Linked DNA regions of Coturnix japonica. The protein of the gene in region 1 purifies or fractionates together with the protein of each later gene. This does not show direct contact. Links are inferred from orthologs where the notes say so. Each region holds a gene or a part of one and is shown on either strand. Other genes may lie near its edges. The genes, in order: TRERF1, DNTTIP1 and HDAC1.

What was found.
Region 2: the proteins of TRERF1 (region 1) and DNTTIP1 purify together in Homo sapiens (affinity purification with mass spectrometry; 3 studies listed by BioGRID and IntAct, with this or other methods). This does not show direct contact. The link is inferred for Coturnix japonica from reciprocal best matches to the Homo sapiens genes TRERF1 and DNTTIP1.
Region 3: the proteins of TRERF1 (region 1) and HDAC1 purify together in Homo sapiens (co-immunoprecipitation; 5 studies listed by BioGRID and IntAct, counting the BioPlex papers as one, with this or other methods). This does not show direct contact. The link is inferred for Coturnix japonica from reciprocal best matches to the Homo sapiens genes TRERF1 and HDAC1.

What each region holds. Positions count from the first base shown.
Region 1 is NC_029518.1:20,297,704-20,302,870, forward strand, and holds the start of TRERF1 (transcriptional-regulating factor 1), read right to left. Parts: upstream 3,136-5,167; 5' UTR 3,019-3,135; intron 2,897-3,018; exon of another isoform or gene 2,725-2,896; intron 1-2,724.
Region 2 is NC_029535.1:9,477,091-9,482,118, reverse strand, and holds the start of DNTTIP1 (deoxynucleotidyltransferase terminal-interacting protein 1), read right to left. Parts: upstream 3,023-5,028; 5' UTR 2,960-3,022; coding exon 2,873-2,959; intron 2,792-2,872; coding exon 2,721-2,791; intron 2,598-2,720; coding exon 2,501-2,597; intron 2,374-2,500; coding exon 2,275-2,373; intron 2,016-2,274; coding exon 1,947-2,015; intron 1,616-1,946; coding exon 1,559-1,615; intron 1,322-1,558; coding exon 1,260-1,321; intron 844-1,259; coding exon 798-843; intron 366-797; coding exon 307-365; intron 118-306; coding exon 57-117; intron 1-56. Other genes in the region: aspartate and glycine-rich protein-like, read left to right, coding at 4,614-4,686. UniProt on the Homo sapiens protein: Increases DNTT terminal deoxynucleotidyltransferase activity (in vitro). Also acts as a transcriptional regulator, binding to the consensus sequence 5'-GNTGCATG-3' following an AT-tract.
Region 3 is NC_029538.1:4,507,769-4,512,810, reverse strand, and holds the start of HDAC1 (histone deacetylase 1), read left to right. Parts: upstream 1-1,897; 5' UTR 1,898-2,282; coding exon 2,283-2,459; intron 2,460-2,870; coding exon 2,871-2,988; intron 2,989-4,296; coding exon 4,297-4,371; intron 4,372-5,042. UniProt on the Homo sapiens protein: Histone deacetylase that catalyzes the deacetylation of lysine residues on the N-terminal part of the core histones (H2A, H2B, H3 and H4).

The DNA.
Region 1 (5,167 bases):
CCAGGCAAAACTGACATCTGCACTTGTAGATGTGGTTATCTCCATTGCAGAGGTGTGGGAGAGGGCAAAAGAATCCCCCTGGTTTTATAGGCAGAAAATTATACCGTTCTGATCACAGTTCCTCATTGGAAGCTATACAGTATCAAAAAAGGCCTAAGAGAAGAAACAATTTGTTGCCACATCACAAATTACTTTTCATCTATCAAACGCTGTTGGTTTTTGTTTGTTTTTTTGTTTTTTGAAGTATTTCTAAGGAAGCTGAAATGAAACTGCCTTATCTCGCAAGTTGCTATGACACATCATAAAGAGACACAGCCTCCCAGCACCAGAATCTCACAATGACACCACAGATCCCAGGGCTGCTCTCCCTCAGCTCACCGCTCTTTACAGAACTGGGAAAGGGGAGGAAGGCCCTCGCCAAGCAACTCTCTTAGAGACATATATTCCCTGCTAGATTGCAACAAAAGTACAGCAGTTTAAAACATTCAGAGCAGTATATTATCTCACTGCTTTAGGAAAGCTGCAGTAGGTTACATGACTGGGTTTTTTATACTTTTCTCACACTCGTTACCAGATGCTAAATTACAATCTTGGTTTACAACAGCAAACCTCCGTGTATCCCTGGAAATGGCCTGAAGAAGCACGTGCAATGGAATTCTGAGCTTAAAACCTAGCTCAAAACCTAAGTCCCTTTTCCTACCCAGTCCTGTTGAGTGCTTCCCAAAAGCAAAGTAACCTGAAAGAAGGACTTGCTCTGTGGTCCTAAACCCAAACCAGAGGCACGTGATCGGCAGAGGCCAACAACACAAAGTGCATATCACATGGAGATTTTATTCAGCCTCCAAATGTAACATGAGTCAGAGTTAGATAGGGAGGTTGTTCATGCTATGGTTACTCACAGGACCCTACCTGGCCCCACTGTGCCCAGGGCAGGGCACTCAGAAATGACAGGGCTGCCAAGTGCCACCCTTACCACTGTACCTACAGGCTGAGCCCACGCTCTGTGCCCAGGCTGGCATCCACAGTGAAGCCTATGTGATCTATTATGCCATTCAAATTGAATTACTCGTATTTGAGCTTTTCAGACATGCTGGTTTGACTGACGCCCTGATAATGCTACTCAGCCCCTTGCTGGAGTCTCCCAACTTTAGAAACTTGATCTACTTATCAGCTGCAGCAGAAAGGATCATAAAAGCATTTATTTGCAACAAAAGCTTGGAGTGCAGCACATAGGAGCCTCTCCTTTTTCTAAAGTACATGAGATAATTAGCTATAGAAGAAAAACGCACAATATGTTTTGTTTATATGAAAGAATTGCTTATCTAAATTCTAACTTAACAGTCTATTTGGCATGACCTTATTTTACAAACTACAAAGCCACAGGTTAACTTCCACACCATATATGCATAGATGGAGTGTTGATGAAGCAGCACTTGGGATGTTAAAATTCCAACCTTGGATAAGGCTCAAAAAAGCAGGTAACAATGAATCATAGAATATCCTGAGTTGTTAAGGATCCATAAAGTTCACCGAGTCCAACTCCTGGCTTCATACAGCAACACCCAAAAATCAAACCCCATGTCTGAGAACGTACAAGGAACATTATGCCATGTCCCCACGGCGGGTGACAAAGTGAAATGGGCATTTCTAGGGAAACATTATGAGGAATTGACTGGAGCACAGCCTCCAGTCAAGGAAGGAGGCAGCCCCAGCACAGTGCCCGCAGGCCAGCTGGGATGCAGGGCAGCAGGGCAAGGCCCAGGCTGGCCCATAGGGCTCTCTGAAGCACATGCAGCAGAATTACAGTTGTCAGAGATACAAAACTTCACCCTTGTTATTACCCGCTTAACACACAATTAAGCGCTTTGCAGCGTTTGCCATAAATAGTTCAGCTATGGGTCACTGTATCTATCTCACCGCTATGAGATTAGTTTGTAAAACCCTACGAACATCACTGGTGTTGGTGGTGGTCGGCGTGGTTGTGCCGGGACACGACAAGAGGTCGGATGCTACTGGGTGAGCGTGTCGGCGTCACCGAGTTTCACACCCTGGCTATTCCAGCCTGGGCGGCGGGAACGAAACCGATCTGAGAAGCCGGCAGAGGATGAGTAGGCATTATCCACTTACTGACTGGTGAACTGCCAGTTCATTTCACTTGCAAATCATCCCTCCGCTACTTAAGCATCTGGCTGGCAGCTTTTGGTCATTACCCCGCACTGTGACAGCACACACACCCCAGCCGTCCCGCACTCCAGCACTTTCCCACTCTATGGGTAGAGCAGCAGTCATCCCCTATACCCTGCGAGGCACCTCCGCGCCGTGACCCTTCGGATGCCGCCACCTCGCTCGGGAACACGCGTGGGTCCCTCGGCGGCTCGTGGGACGCGCACACCCCGCCCGGCCCCGCGCACTGACAACTTCCTCGCGGCCGCCCCGCGCCTCCTTCCCTCCCTCCCTCCCTCCGTCCCTTCTCTCGGCACGGCTGTACCGCCGGCCCCGCCCGGAGCAGCCCGGAGCAGCGGGCAGGTAGGGGCCGGGCAGCCCCCACCGCGGCCCCGCGAGGAGGAGGAGGATGAGGCGGCTTCGGGCAGGGCCTCGGCGCTGCGGACCGAAAGTCAGCTGCAAACTTTTTTTTTTTTTTTTTCTTTTTCTTTTTTTTTTTTTTAATTCTGCAAGCGAAGCCCCGGCTCATGCAAAAATGAAACTTGCGAAGCGCTGCCCTACCTGGCGCCAAGTCTGCAACAAGTGCACGGGGGCCGGCACGAGGGGCTCTGATTTTTCTCTCTTTTTGGGAGCCGCGAGAGCGACCGCACTATTAATTGATCACCGCGCCGCCGGGGCCGGGTCCTACTTTACTTACGGCGCAGCCCGTAAACAAATATCGCTCCGCCAGGAAACGCAACTCCCCCGGCCCGCACGGCCCGGCCCGGCCCCGCCGCCAACACCCGGCCCGGCCCCCGCCCGCCCGGCACATGGCGGGTCCGCGCCCCGCGGGGAGGCTGCGGAGCGGGCGCTTACCTCCGGCACGGCCTCCCGCTGCGGCTCCGGCCGCGCCGCCCTTCTCTCGTCTCTCGCCCGTGATGCACGAAATCCCGCTGTCAGCAAATCGCTGTCAAATTATTTTCTCGCAAAAGAGCGAGGAGGAAAAAAAAAAAAAAGAAAAAAAAAAAAAGCAGAAGCAGAAGGGGGAGGAGGCAGCTGGAGGCGACGGGATCCCTCCGCCGCGATGGGTCTGGCTCTGGGTAGCGAAGCAGGAAGTAAGGTGTCGGCGGCGCCGCGGCCGCGGCCGCCCGGCCCCGCGGCGGGGCGAGGGCGAGGGGCGCCCGCCGCCCCCGGGGCCCGCTCCGCCCGCTCCGCCGAGCCGCGGCCCCCCCTTGTGCGGCCCCTCCTCTCGGCGCAGGTGCCGGGCGGCTGGCGGGGAGCTGTCAGCGGCTGCCGGCGGGGCTCGGGCCGGCCGCGGGCTCCCGGCGCCGCATGCCGCAGGGCGGAGGGGACGGGGCCGGCTCCGGCTCCCGCCCGGCCGGCGGCACCGCCGTCCCTCCCCCGCGGCGCTGAGGGAGGGGGCGCCCGGCGGCGGCGGCGGCTGAAGGAGATGGGGTCCCGCCGACCGGGCTGTGAGGGAGCGGCCGGGCCGCCTCACCCCCCCGCCCCACCGCCCGGAGAAGCCGAGGCCGAGCTGGGGCGGGGGGAAGCGGCGGCGGCGCCGGAGAGGAAAGTTGTGCCGGGCTGTCAGCGGGCCGGGCGGCTCCGGGCGGGCTGAGGGTTAACCGGGAAGTTCACGCTCTCGCACAGCGAGCCCCGTGGAAAGTTGCCGCTCAGGTCGCTGGTTTTTGCCACTGCTAGTCTTAAGCTGTCCCTTTCTTTCCCCGTTAATTCCGCAGGAGGGTTCTGGTGGCGTTCCTTCCCGGCCCTGCCTCCCTCGAGCTGGGAATATACGTTACATTGCACCAAAACGTTCCCTTGCGGGGAAGGATTTCGCATCTCGAGGACGGAGACGCGGTGCGCGCGACTCCTGCGGCGCTCCGTGTGAGCTCAGGGAGTTACTGCCAGAGACCATGGCTGGGGAGAGAGAAACCGAAACGGGGCGGTGGTGAGGGCCCACTTCTGCCTTCAGAACAGAAGGAAGAAGAAAAAAGACAAAACTCTCCCTGGTTACGGCTGCAACAGAAATAGGGCTGTGGCGTGTTAGCGTCTCTGTTTCAGCCTTACGTTGTAATGGTTACCAGCAGCCTCGTTTCATTTTTATGGTCATCCCGGTTTCTTGGTTGCATGACACTTCTATTGGGACACCGTTCTTAATAATTTAACCTTTTATGAGATCGTTTTGATTTACAGTGCAGATTAGAGCAGACTGAAAAGGCATGATATCACCCGCTGGCTGCTGGCTCCTCTGCGCCCCATGCAAAGGTCTCCACTGTTGAAGACGTCAGGAGCGAGGTCTCATTTTCCTTCCCCAGCCAGCCAGTCATTTTCTAATCTTATTTTTACTTAAGTGAAGAATCGCATTCAGATACTGTAACTCTGCCGTGCTGAGCTGTGCAGAATCTACACTGAGTTTTGGATTCAATGGATGGCTTGTTTGCTCACTGGAGTCCCAAGTCACATAAACTATGTTGAAAATAGAATTGAAACCACAGCTCGACGTGTGCCTTGCCTCTGTTTGTTTTTTGAGTCTAGTCTGAAGCCCAGAATAGCCCATATTGCTTGCGATTTCCAAAATGACTTCTGAAAATAAGCTGTGTGATAGAACAGTCTGTATAGCTTTCTCTCAGCATCTCAACTTGTTCAACCGATGGATGTGAACAGATCCACATTGAGTTGGTGAGGTGGTACTTCATTTAACTGAAGCTCGCGGGCTTGAGTTGCAGTTCTCAAAGCAAAAGCAAATGAATGGTATAATTTAAATTTGAACAAAGCATCATTATCTGGCCTCCGCCTGACGTGCTGTGAGCTCGACCTGCATTGCTCTGCCATAACAAGTACATACATAGAATTTCTGAATGAAGGCAAGTAGGTTATTAGCTTTGGACAATGTTTCATGAAAAATGTGGGGGCTGGCTTTAGCTATACCGCATTCTTTATACTTATCCTGCAATTTATGAATTGGTCTTCATCAGAAGCACAAAGCCCTAATTAATGTTCTCAGTTTTCCTGATCCTTCTTCTAA
Region 2 (5,028 bases), on another chromosome or scaffold:
ACAAACTGCTTCTGAACAAACCCCAAAGGAGGAGGCATCCTGCTGTGGTATCTGACCTTAAAGAGGTGGGGATGCTTGATGTAGAGTCGCCCTCTTGTTCCTCCCATCCCGAGAGCTCTGAAAAAGGAACACAAGGGGGTGTTACACTGGGACAGAGGGGCCCTGCAGCAGCACGGGGCACCTCCTCTCCTCCCCAGGCCCCAGCCCTTCCTACTGCTTTCGAGGCAGAGAAGTGAAGTGACGGGAGGAGTCTTACGGGCTCCTGCCTGGGAGACACCACCCTCCATCAACAGGGCCATTCCTTACTTGTTTGCTCGAGATCCCAGCACAAAGGTTGTGGTTTCAGTCAGTCGGGATGGATCCCACTACAGAGCAATTGGAAAAGGGGCAACATTAGAAATGAAGCTGGTGCCAGCCAATGCTCCACGAGCCTCAGCTCTCTGACGGGGAACCTAAGAACTGATTTGGGAGGGAGGGAGGTAGCCACAAACCTCTGGATTGCCACAGAGGAAGGAAACTGCACCACCTTGGGCTGATCTAAGCTGTTTCCCTTGTAGGAAACGCTTTGTGGGATCCTCCTGGCTACCACTAAGGCTCTCCCCATGTCTCCTAACAGCTGCACCACACCACAGAGCTACAGTGCCTGGAGGAAGCAAGCAAAGGCTTCCAGGCACTGTAGAGACTCAGCAGAGTAGGGCACAACCTAGGTCTGTTCTGTGCTGCCGCTGCAGGCAGGGCTCTGCTAGCGGAAGCGAAGGGAGGAGAGGGTGAGCCCAGCAGCATCAGCCAGCCAATACCTTTGGTCCATCCCTTCTCACAGGTTCAGAGACTTTGAGCTTCCACCTGAAGGGAAGGAAAGTGAAATAAGAACAGGTCCTAGAAAGATCAATGCAGACAGACACCACAAGCTCCCAGCGGCAGGAATCTGAGTTTGAGCCTTTCCAGATCCACCCTCTCACACCTTCTCTGAAGCCCCATCTCTGCTGTGTTCCCTGTTAGCAGCTGTGTCACACACAGCTCACTGAATCATCCACCTGGTTCTGCACATCCTTTGGCCCTGTTTAAAACAGTTCCCTGGAAGGCTTTGCCTCCTGTGACTCAACCTCAGCCAAAACTCTCTTGCCCTTTGCCATCCCCCCCTACACCTCTCTTTTGTGCAGGGGGAAGGACACTGCAGGTTTTGGTGCCCCTTACTTCAGGCAGTTTTGTTTCCCGCTGCCCCCCCAAAGCACGGGCAGCAGCTTGAGGCCCATACTCACGCAGACATGCCTGAGACCCCACGATCGTTTGACAGGCTCTGTCCTGGAGGCCGTCCCTTTCTCTGCATGGAAGAAATCCTTCAGTCATTCAACTGTGCACATAGAAAGGACCCTTTTGATTATCTGTTCCATCCTACAGAAGCAGCTCTTTCTACCACAAGCACAACAACAGCATGAGAACAAGCACCTCTGAGCCTTCACAAAAACCATTCATACTTGCACATGCTCATACTGTGGTAACAGGAGCAAGGAACAGATCTCCCAAAACATAAAATCCCTCATGTGGAAAACCCTCCTACCTTTTTGGGAAGGGGGCTTCCTCGACGATTCAATTCCTCATCCATCTGTCGGGCACGCTGGAAGAGGAATGGTGGGAGGATGGAGACAAACCCTTCTCCCATCCCAGCCAGGCAGGGCCCCAAGCACACAGCCTGCAGCTCTCATTTGCTGACTTAAGGCAGAGAGCACAAGGGCACAGACAAACTCTGCAGGCAGCCCATAGCAGTGCAAAGCACTCAGATGCTGCACCTGGGGTCTGCACTGGTCTGTAAGTTACTTTCCCCACAAGACAAACATTTCCCAGCTCCACCTCCTCACTTGCACAGCTAGTAGATAATTCCAACCCCGTCATTCTATTCCTCCCAGCTCTTACAAATCATTTAATCCTCCATGAACAACAACTTTTACCTTTGGTCCCATCTGCTCGTGGGGCAACCTGGACACAACTTTTTTGCCATCTGAGAACAGCAGCTTGGCCTGTAGAAAGAGAAGGAAGGTCACCTATTCTGGGTGGAAAGGGGGACTACCAGCAACAACCCCTGCTTCACCCTGTGATGAGAAGATCCATCTTCAAAGGCACCTGTGCTGATGGGAAAGCCCCAGACCATGTGAAACATAAAGGCCACATCTAAAGACCAAACTCTTTATTGACATCTGGCCACTACAGACTAAAGATTTGGGTCTATCTGCCCCCAGGTCCCATCCCAGAAATAGTCTCACGTGTGTTTGTACCCACCTGCTCCAGGCAGCTCCGACACGTCTCCTGGATCAGCTGCTCTGGATCCACGTCCTCCCCAACGTTGTCTCGCACGTTGAGTGCTGCCTTCTGGAAGAACTGGGGGAGGAGCAGCATGATGTCAGCAGCCACGTAAACTCCATCCAGGGTGCAGCACCCAGCTGCCCTCACACAGTGTGCAGGGCTGGGTCCTCTGAGATGCCGTGGCTGCTCCCTGTCCACTCACCTTCATGTACTTATTGAACACAGCCCGGATCTCCTCGTTAATGCTGGGCTGCAGCACGGCTCGCAGCAGGTCCATGGACACGATCGGGTCGGTGAAGCTGTGTGAGCACATGGAGTCAGTCCCGGTGCAGGCACTATCCCGGTGCCCCCATTCCCTCCCTTTAGGCCCATCCCAGCCCCGCTCCGGTTCATCCCTCCCCGCTGTCCGGTCCCTCCGGTACCTGGTTGTCATCTGTGACCGCCGGCCGCGCCGCTGCACCTGCCGATGCTTGATCATGATGTTCCACGGGCTCTGCGGGACACAACCGTCAGCCCCGAGCCCGCCTCCCTCCCGTCCTCCCTCTCCACCTCCTCCTCCTCCCTCCCCCCTCACCGTTCCTCCCGGCTGCTCCTCGCCTCCTCCCGGTCCCTCCTCTCCCGGAGGCCCCGGCTGCTGCTCGGCGTCACGGGCGGCGCCCATCGCGCTCCGGGCCCGCGGCGCCGCTTCCGGAAGCACCGGGTTCAATACGTCATCGGAACGCGACACGCGTGGCGCGACGGAAGTGGCAGCGGCTTCCGGCGGGTGGGTCCGGCGTGGCGATCCCTGCCCGGTGCCCGGTGATCCCTGCCCGCTTCCTGCCCCGCCTGGCCGCCATCCCCCGCCCCGTGCTGCCCCGCCGTGGGGCTGTGAGGAGCCGGGACCTGTGGGATTCAGCTTACCGGAAAGCTCATTGCTGTACGCAGACATGGCTGTAATACATTTAACTTCTTAATTCTCTGTGTTATGACCGATGTTTGGATGCACGGAGCTGTATCGGTGCTGTAATGACGGTGCTGTGCCCAAGGGGGCCGGGGCTGCAGCAGGGCAGGATGGCATTGCCTTTGTAGCTGCACGGCAGTGCCCTGGCAGCTCCCATTAGCTCATAACTGTGCTGTGCTGCCCCTTAGGCCGTGCCCTGAGTCACTGCCACCGGCTGGATTCACCCCGTGCCTTTGTCATTCTCGAGGCAGATAGGAAGCAGATAGTAATCTGTGGCTAAAGAGTAATGGAGATAATTGCACTGTTATCATCACCGTATCACACCTCTCCTGTGGGGTGTTCGGAACACAACGTCAGTGCCACCTGCTGCGAGCGCACCGCTGGGTACCGCTGTCTGCTCTTGTGCTGGGCAGAGACCCACGAGTGGCAGCACCGACACTGTGCTGAGCTGCCCCTCCTGCTGGGGCTTGGAGGGCTCCGGACAGCACAGTAGGTGGCAGGGAACTGTGGCACGAGGGAGCTCTGCTCACCATGGTCACAGAGGTGACACCATCGAGCTGAGATGTGGGGCACAGGGACTGCAGCGGATAGGGGCGGTTCACAAGGGAAATAGCTCCAGAACTGAGTCATGGCCACGAGGAGTGGAAGAAACCTGTACTTCGAGCTCATTTCTTGCAGTAAGCCTCCTTCCCACGCAGGTTTGGTGGCATGCAGGCCCTGCGCCTTCCCACTGCTGAACACATGGCCCCAGTGCTGCCCATGTGTGGCCTTTGCCACCATTTGGACGAAGCTTTCTGAAGCAGTTTTGCCTTCTGAGCTTTCACACAGAGTGACCTGCACATGCTGACAGTGGTAGAGATGCTCCTGGTGCAGAGGAGAGACATAAACATGGTGGCACACTGAATTCTTTGTTCACTCTCAATGCAAACACAGGGCAGGGGCTGGCAGCATGGAGCTGAGCTGTAATACCTGCCCTGGGCAGCTCTCCTCCACTCAGTGCTGCGGCACTCCGTGTTCTGTCTGCCAGGAGACATTTATTCCTGCTGGTTTTAAAGCATAACAAGCTACAGCATTGACATTCAACCCTGCACAGGTGGAGCTGAGCTCCTCCGGGGCAATGGAGGGGGGGAAATCTTGCTCTGCAATCTGGGAAGGTGCCCCTGGGGGTGAACGAGGAGCTCTGATGTTACCAGTGCCCATTAAGGGTTTATGGGCCGAGAATCGGGCTGGCCGCAGCCCGGTGTTCCGGTGTCTCCTCCTGCCCTGCTGCTGCGGGTGTCCCACGGGGCACGCAGGACGTGGGAGGTGCCCGGGGCCGCCTCTCTGCTGTAGCTTAAATCCCGTCTGGGCGCCGTGCGGGCAGGGTGCTGGCACCATGCGGGGGGGTGCTTGGCTCCTGCTGGGGCTGCTGGCCCTCGGTGTCCCGCTGCACGCCGCGCCCGCTGCAGGTGAGCACGGCCCCGCGGTGGGTGAGGTGCGCTGTGCGCTGTGCGGGTGGCTCTGCTTTGGTTTTATATCCCAGCACTTTCTGCCAGAGCTGCGACCCTCGCGAGCTCTAGCCCTGCTTAAGGCTCCTAACCTTTGGCTTCTGCGAAACGTTAAATGTCGTGCGAGTCCGGTTCAGAGCGCTCCAGCTGCAGAAGCTTCTCTTGCTTTCTGTTATTTCCTTCTGACGCTGCTTTTTCTGGTGCTGTTGGCTGGGGCCGGGGCTCCCCGTTCGCCGAGCGCTGGAGGATGCAGCCCCGCTCTGCCCGGATGGGGCTGGTGCCGGGGGGTCTTTGCGTGGAGGC
Region 3 (5,042 bases), on another chromosome or scaffold:
CCTGCCCTTCAGGAAGCTGCTTTCTGGCCTTTTAATCTTCCCACTGGGTTGGGGGTAGCGGGGTGTTACAGCTCTTTCCCCGCTGGCAGCACAGCTCGTCCCACTGGACACGTTCACAGCCCCCCCCCCCCCCCCCTTTGGAGGGTGACCTCAGTGATGGATGGTTTTTGTTAGGCTCTGGGATTGCTTTGTGCAGGAGGTATTGTGTGGTTCTTTATTTCATTCTAGTTTGCAGTCTGTGAAGTTAAATAAAAACTTTATTCCTTTTCTTTTTTCCCCCGGTAAGTGGATGTGTTCCACACTCAAACAATAAAGTGAGCTCTTCTAAACTGCTTTCTGTGTTGGGCAGGTAGTGAGGGCTCTCATTTCTTCTCAGAAGCAAACATGAGCAGTAGGATTGCATCCTGTGGTGGTGGCCCTGAGTCTTCAGGCAGGGTGAGGAGGAGGAAGGGATCAGAGCAGCAGAACTGCCTGAATTCAGCACACAAGCTGCCTGTGGAGCCCCAGCATCTCAAAGTGCAGTTTGGGGCTGGAGCCCTGGGCTCAGTCAGGCCCAGTTTAAGCACAGAGTGCTGGCAGGAAGCGGCAGGGTGCTGGTTATGCACAAGCAACCCGGGTGTGGAAGATCTCTCTGTGTCCAAACTTCTCCCTCCTTAGAATCTTAAGGTGTTCACAGGGATACTTTCCAGTTTACCAGCTAACATCCTTCAAGGCATGAGATGGTCTGTTAAACACAGAATAAGTGATCATCTTGCTGTGAATGCTAAGCAGAATTATATCCTTATGGTCCTTATTGCACGGTAACAAAATGAAGTTAGTGTTATTCCCCCTTGCCTGTAGCTGCCCTCACCCATTTACTCTGTGGGGAGGTTTTAGTGGCTTGTTTCCACTGCTCTTTTATGAGGGGCTGGCAAACATTCACAGGGGGGAGCTCATTGAGCTGTGGGGAAGGGTCTGGGCTGAGTGGAGAGGTTGGGGAAAAAGAAATGTGGTGTGGAGGGGTCCTTCATGTTCATGTTGAGGTGAGTTGGGGCTGCGTATGGGAAATTCTCTTTTGTTCCAACATGGGGCTCTGCTTAACCCAGCAGACAGGAAGAGGTCTGTGTTGAATTCTCACACTTAATGTGCACCCATTAGCACTGCTGAGCTCAGTGCAGCGTGGTAGGACTTGTGGTGAGACACGTCTGGGGTCTTGCTGGCAGCCCAAGGGAAAGAAGGGAGGCAATACATTTGCAAAGCTTTGTGTGTGTGTTTCCTAGATATAGTTTTGAACACCCCCAATGGCTCCCCAAAGCTTAACATACCCTGCTTTTGCTGTAGGAAGTGTTTTGGTGCAGGCAAAACCCACCTCCTTTCACTGTAGCATCACACAGATGAACTCCAGCAGCAGAATGGTTTGGGTGTGGGGTTTGCATGTCCTTTAAATGGAAGCTCATGCCCATGGAGGAGGCATCACGGCTGTGTGCTGCGAGGAAGTAGCAGTTTCTCCTGTATGTTAAGATTGGTGATGAAATATTAATGCTCCCAGCTGAGTCACTGGGCAGACCGGGTTGAGTCTCTTGCTTCGTAAGCTGATGGGGAGCTGTAAAACTATGCCAATGACTTAGTTTGATTTCTCAACAACATGAGGCTTGTGCAGCGTCGCTGCTGCGTGTGGCTCAGTGCGTTCCCTGCTTTTGGCAGCACTTCTCATGGCCACGTCAGGCAGGGACAGAAACCTGAGTTAAATTCTATGGAAAACACCACGGAAATGTGTGACCTGGGAGAGGAGGGAAAAAGCCAGTGGGAGATGGCAGCAGGAGCTCAGCTTTTACTGGGAGGAGGAACATCTGCATGGGGAGCTGAGCTGTGGGGTGTAATTGTGAGGTGCCGACTTAAATTAACCTGGTGAAGGATTTCCAAAGGGTTTCAGGCAGTAATAAGGGATGGGAATAATGGGAGCTGTAAAGCTATAGCTGTGCTGTGATTTGCTTATTGACAGAATTGGCAGCTTGTATCTCATGTCTGCTGGGTAAACAGTAGTAAACTGAGGCAAAGTGGCTACGTGTGCTGGCTGGTGAGTCATTGTCTGAGCTGGGATTAAACTCCTGTGCCTCCTGGCTTGCAGGTTTCTGCTCAGAGAGCTCTGTATTTCTTAGGGAAGCCCCATACTTGGCCATACCCTGTTGTCCATAAGGCAGTCTTGTTTGGGTCTGGGATAAAGCTTTCTGATGGTGCAGATGCATGTGCAGCCCCTTCCCCCTGTGAACAGATGGGCTGCTGATGGGCACATGAGATGACAGATGTGGTTGTATTTGAAGCAGTTCGTGTTTTTCCCTGCTGTAACAAAATCCTTTCTGTTCCCAGGTGATGTTGGAAACTATTATTATGGCCAGGGACACCCCATGAAGCCCCACAGGATCCGGATGACCCACAACCTACTGCTGAACTACGGCCTTTACAGGAAGATGGAGATATATGTAAGTGTGATGAAAAAACAAGTGTGTTGTCAGTTGTAATTTTGGTGCTTCAAGCTCTTAAATTCTCTTTGACAAGCCAAAGAGGAAAGTGAAAAAGGATTAAATGGTTGTGTTGACATATTTCTGCTGCATTCTGATTCCTTGCAGTGAGATGTTCTTTGCTTCAGATAAGCTTTGGAGTCTGGAAAATTGGTTTGCTCTCAGTAGCTTAAATATTTTCTGTACCTGGATATGTAGTATGTTCCAGTCTCTGGTAATGGCTTTTTTGCCTTTGAAAATAAATTTCTCTTGTCTAGTGCTGCTGCTTCATTTACTTATTTTATTATTTTTGCTGTTTCTGGGAGTAAATCTGAGACTGGAAATGGGATGTGGGGAGGGCAGTGTTCCCAACCAAACCCTCTGTCCTTGCAGCGCCCTCACAAGGCGAACGCGGAGGAGATGACCAAGTACCACAGTGATGACTACATCAAATTCCTGAGATCCATCCGCCCAGACAACATGTCTGAGTACAGCAAGCAGATGCAAAGATGTAAGCTGTGTGTGTGGGGCTGTGTTCATGTCAGTGCTAAGTGTTGTGCGATTGTATCTGTCTGCTTTGTGTCAGAATCTTCTTTCTTTTTCTGTGAGATAACCAGTTCCTTTAACCTCTGCAGTCCATGAAGGTGCTGAGGATCTCTTGGCAGCTTTAATGCTACAGAAACCTTTCCTTTTTTCGGTCTGTCTTAAACTCTGAGGTGATGTTTTGTATCAGGTCATAAAGGCAAATAGATGGGGGAGGCTCAAGTCTCTTTTAATCATTAGTTTGATACACTGCATTCCTTGAGAGCAGGAAAAAAGAGAAAAGCCCACAGGATCCGTTTATGTCAAATGTGATTTCCAAATTAAAAGAGATACGAGTCCTGAGCCTGCAGTAAGGGCACTTGAAACCCTGGTATTAGCTGAAAGGGACAGATGTTTAGGCACAAGCACATAATAGGAATGAATAGTATGGTTCACAAGTAATATACATTGAAAGACCTCCTATAGTAAATAATTTGACTTAATATACCAAAGAATGTATTTACACAAACTGAACTGTTTACCCCTGAAGCTGATACGGCTCACAGACACCCACTCTGCTCTCTGGTAGTCAACGTTTTCTCTATTCTATTTCCACAGAACTGTTTTTAACTGAAGGAGGCGAAATATGAAAATTAATCTTAAACACACAGAGGGCAGATCTTTTATTCAGCAGGGAGAGGAAACCCCTGCCTTTGCTTTCTTGGGAAGAACAAGCTTCTGCCTGGCTGAGAAACTTGCACCGGAGGCTCAGAGCAGAGGGGAAGGAGTTTTAAAATGTAGATTTAACACAAGCCTGCTGTTAGTGTGTTTAATGGCAGGGGGTGCTGCCTCCTTCCTGCACAGTGTGTGCATGGCCCTGCTGAGCAGCACCAGCTGCCAAATAGAGCCCAGCACAGTCAATGTGCCAAACGTGAGGGCCTGTGCTGGTACAGTGCAGCTCTCATGGGCAGCATCTCTCCCTGCACGCTCCTTTCTGAGATGATTGACTGGTTCCTGCCTCCCTCTGAGCCTTCACCCGGTAGGTGGCGTGACTGTCCCACTGCAGCTCCTGGCACCTGCTGAGCTGGGAGCATCCTTCCATAGCAGCAAACCATGCAGGCAGTGTTGGTGGGACCACCTTCATGTCCTGTCATTTGTGTGTTTTTCAGTTTGTTTTTCAGTTGATTAAAGTCCTTATCAGGCTAGGTTTTGGGTTTTTCTTTAATCAGACAGGTAGTACAAGCTTTACCAATGCTTTGTGACTTGGTCTTACTAATTCTTATGTATTCTTTTCAAGTTAACGTCGGGGAGGACTGTCCTGTGTTCGATGGGCTGTTTGAGTTCTGTCAGCTCTCTGCTGGAGGCTCAGTTGGTAAGCTCATCCGTCGTACAGTCTTTTCCTAAGCAGATTTACATCAAGTTGTTCTGCAAAAGTGATTTGTTGTAGGTGGGGGTGGGGGAGCCCTATGAGCCTATTTCTGACTTCCTCAGGTTGAGATTTCTCCCCATGCTGGAATTCCAGCTTTGCATTTTGACAGACCCCTCTGCGTTTGTTAAATGTATCTTTATTACTCTGAGCTACTTCTTGGATGACTCCACAAAGGTGATAGACAGAACCCTGACAGCAGTGGGGTTTTACCAGTAATAATTAAAAATAAGTAATGTGAGCTGCACAGAAAAGCAAAGGCACAGAAGTTGCCTGGTGTAGGTGCCAGCTAAAAAGCAAGAAAGGGTTATTTTTCTTGTTCTTAGCAGAAAGCCAATGTCTCTGGCCATGAGGCAGAAGCTGGAACATTTAAAACACTTTGTACCAAGGAGATGTGGTACTTCAGGACTGTGATACTGTGCATCTACAGTAGGGCTTTGTGTCTGCTACTCCCCCAGTGACATCCAGCAATCTTGGCTTCCTGTCACACAGTTGAGCAGTACCTACCAGTGCTGACCGCAGCGTTCTGATGTTGTTTCTTGAAGTAGCTGTGCTTTGTGATCCCAAGATTGTGCGTCCCCAGAATGTATCACTTCTGTTAATCCTTGGAGACTTGC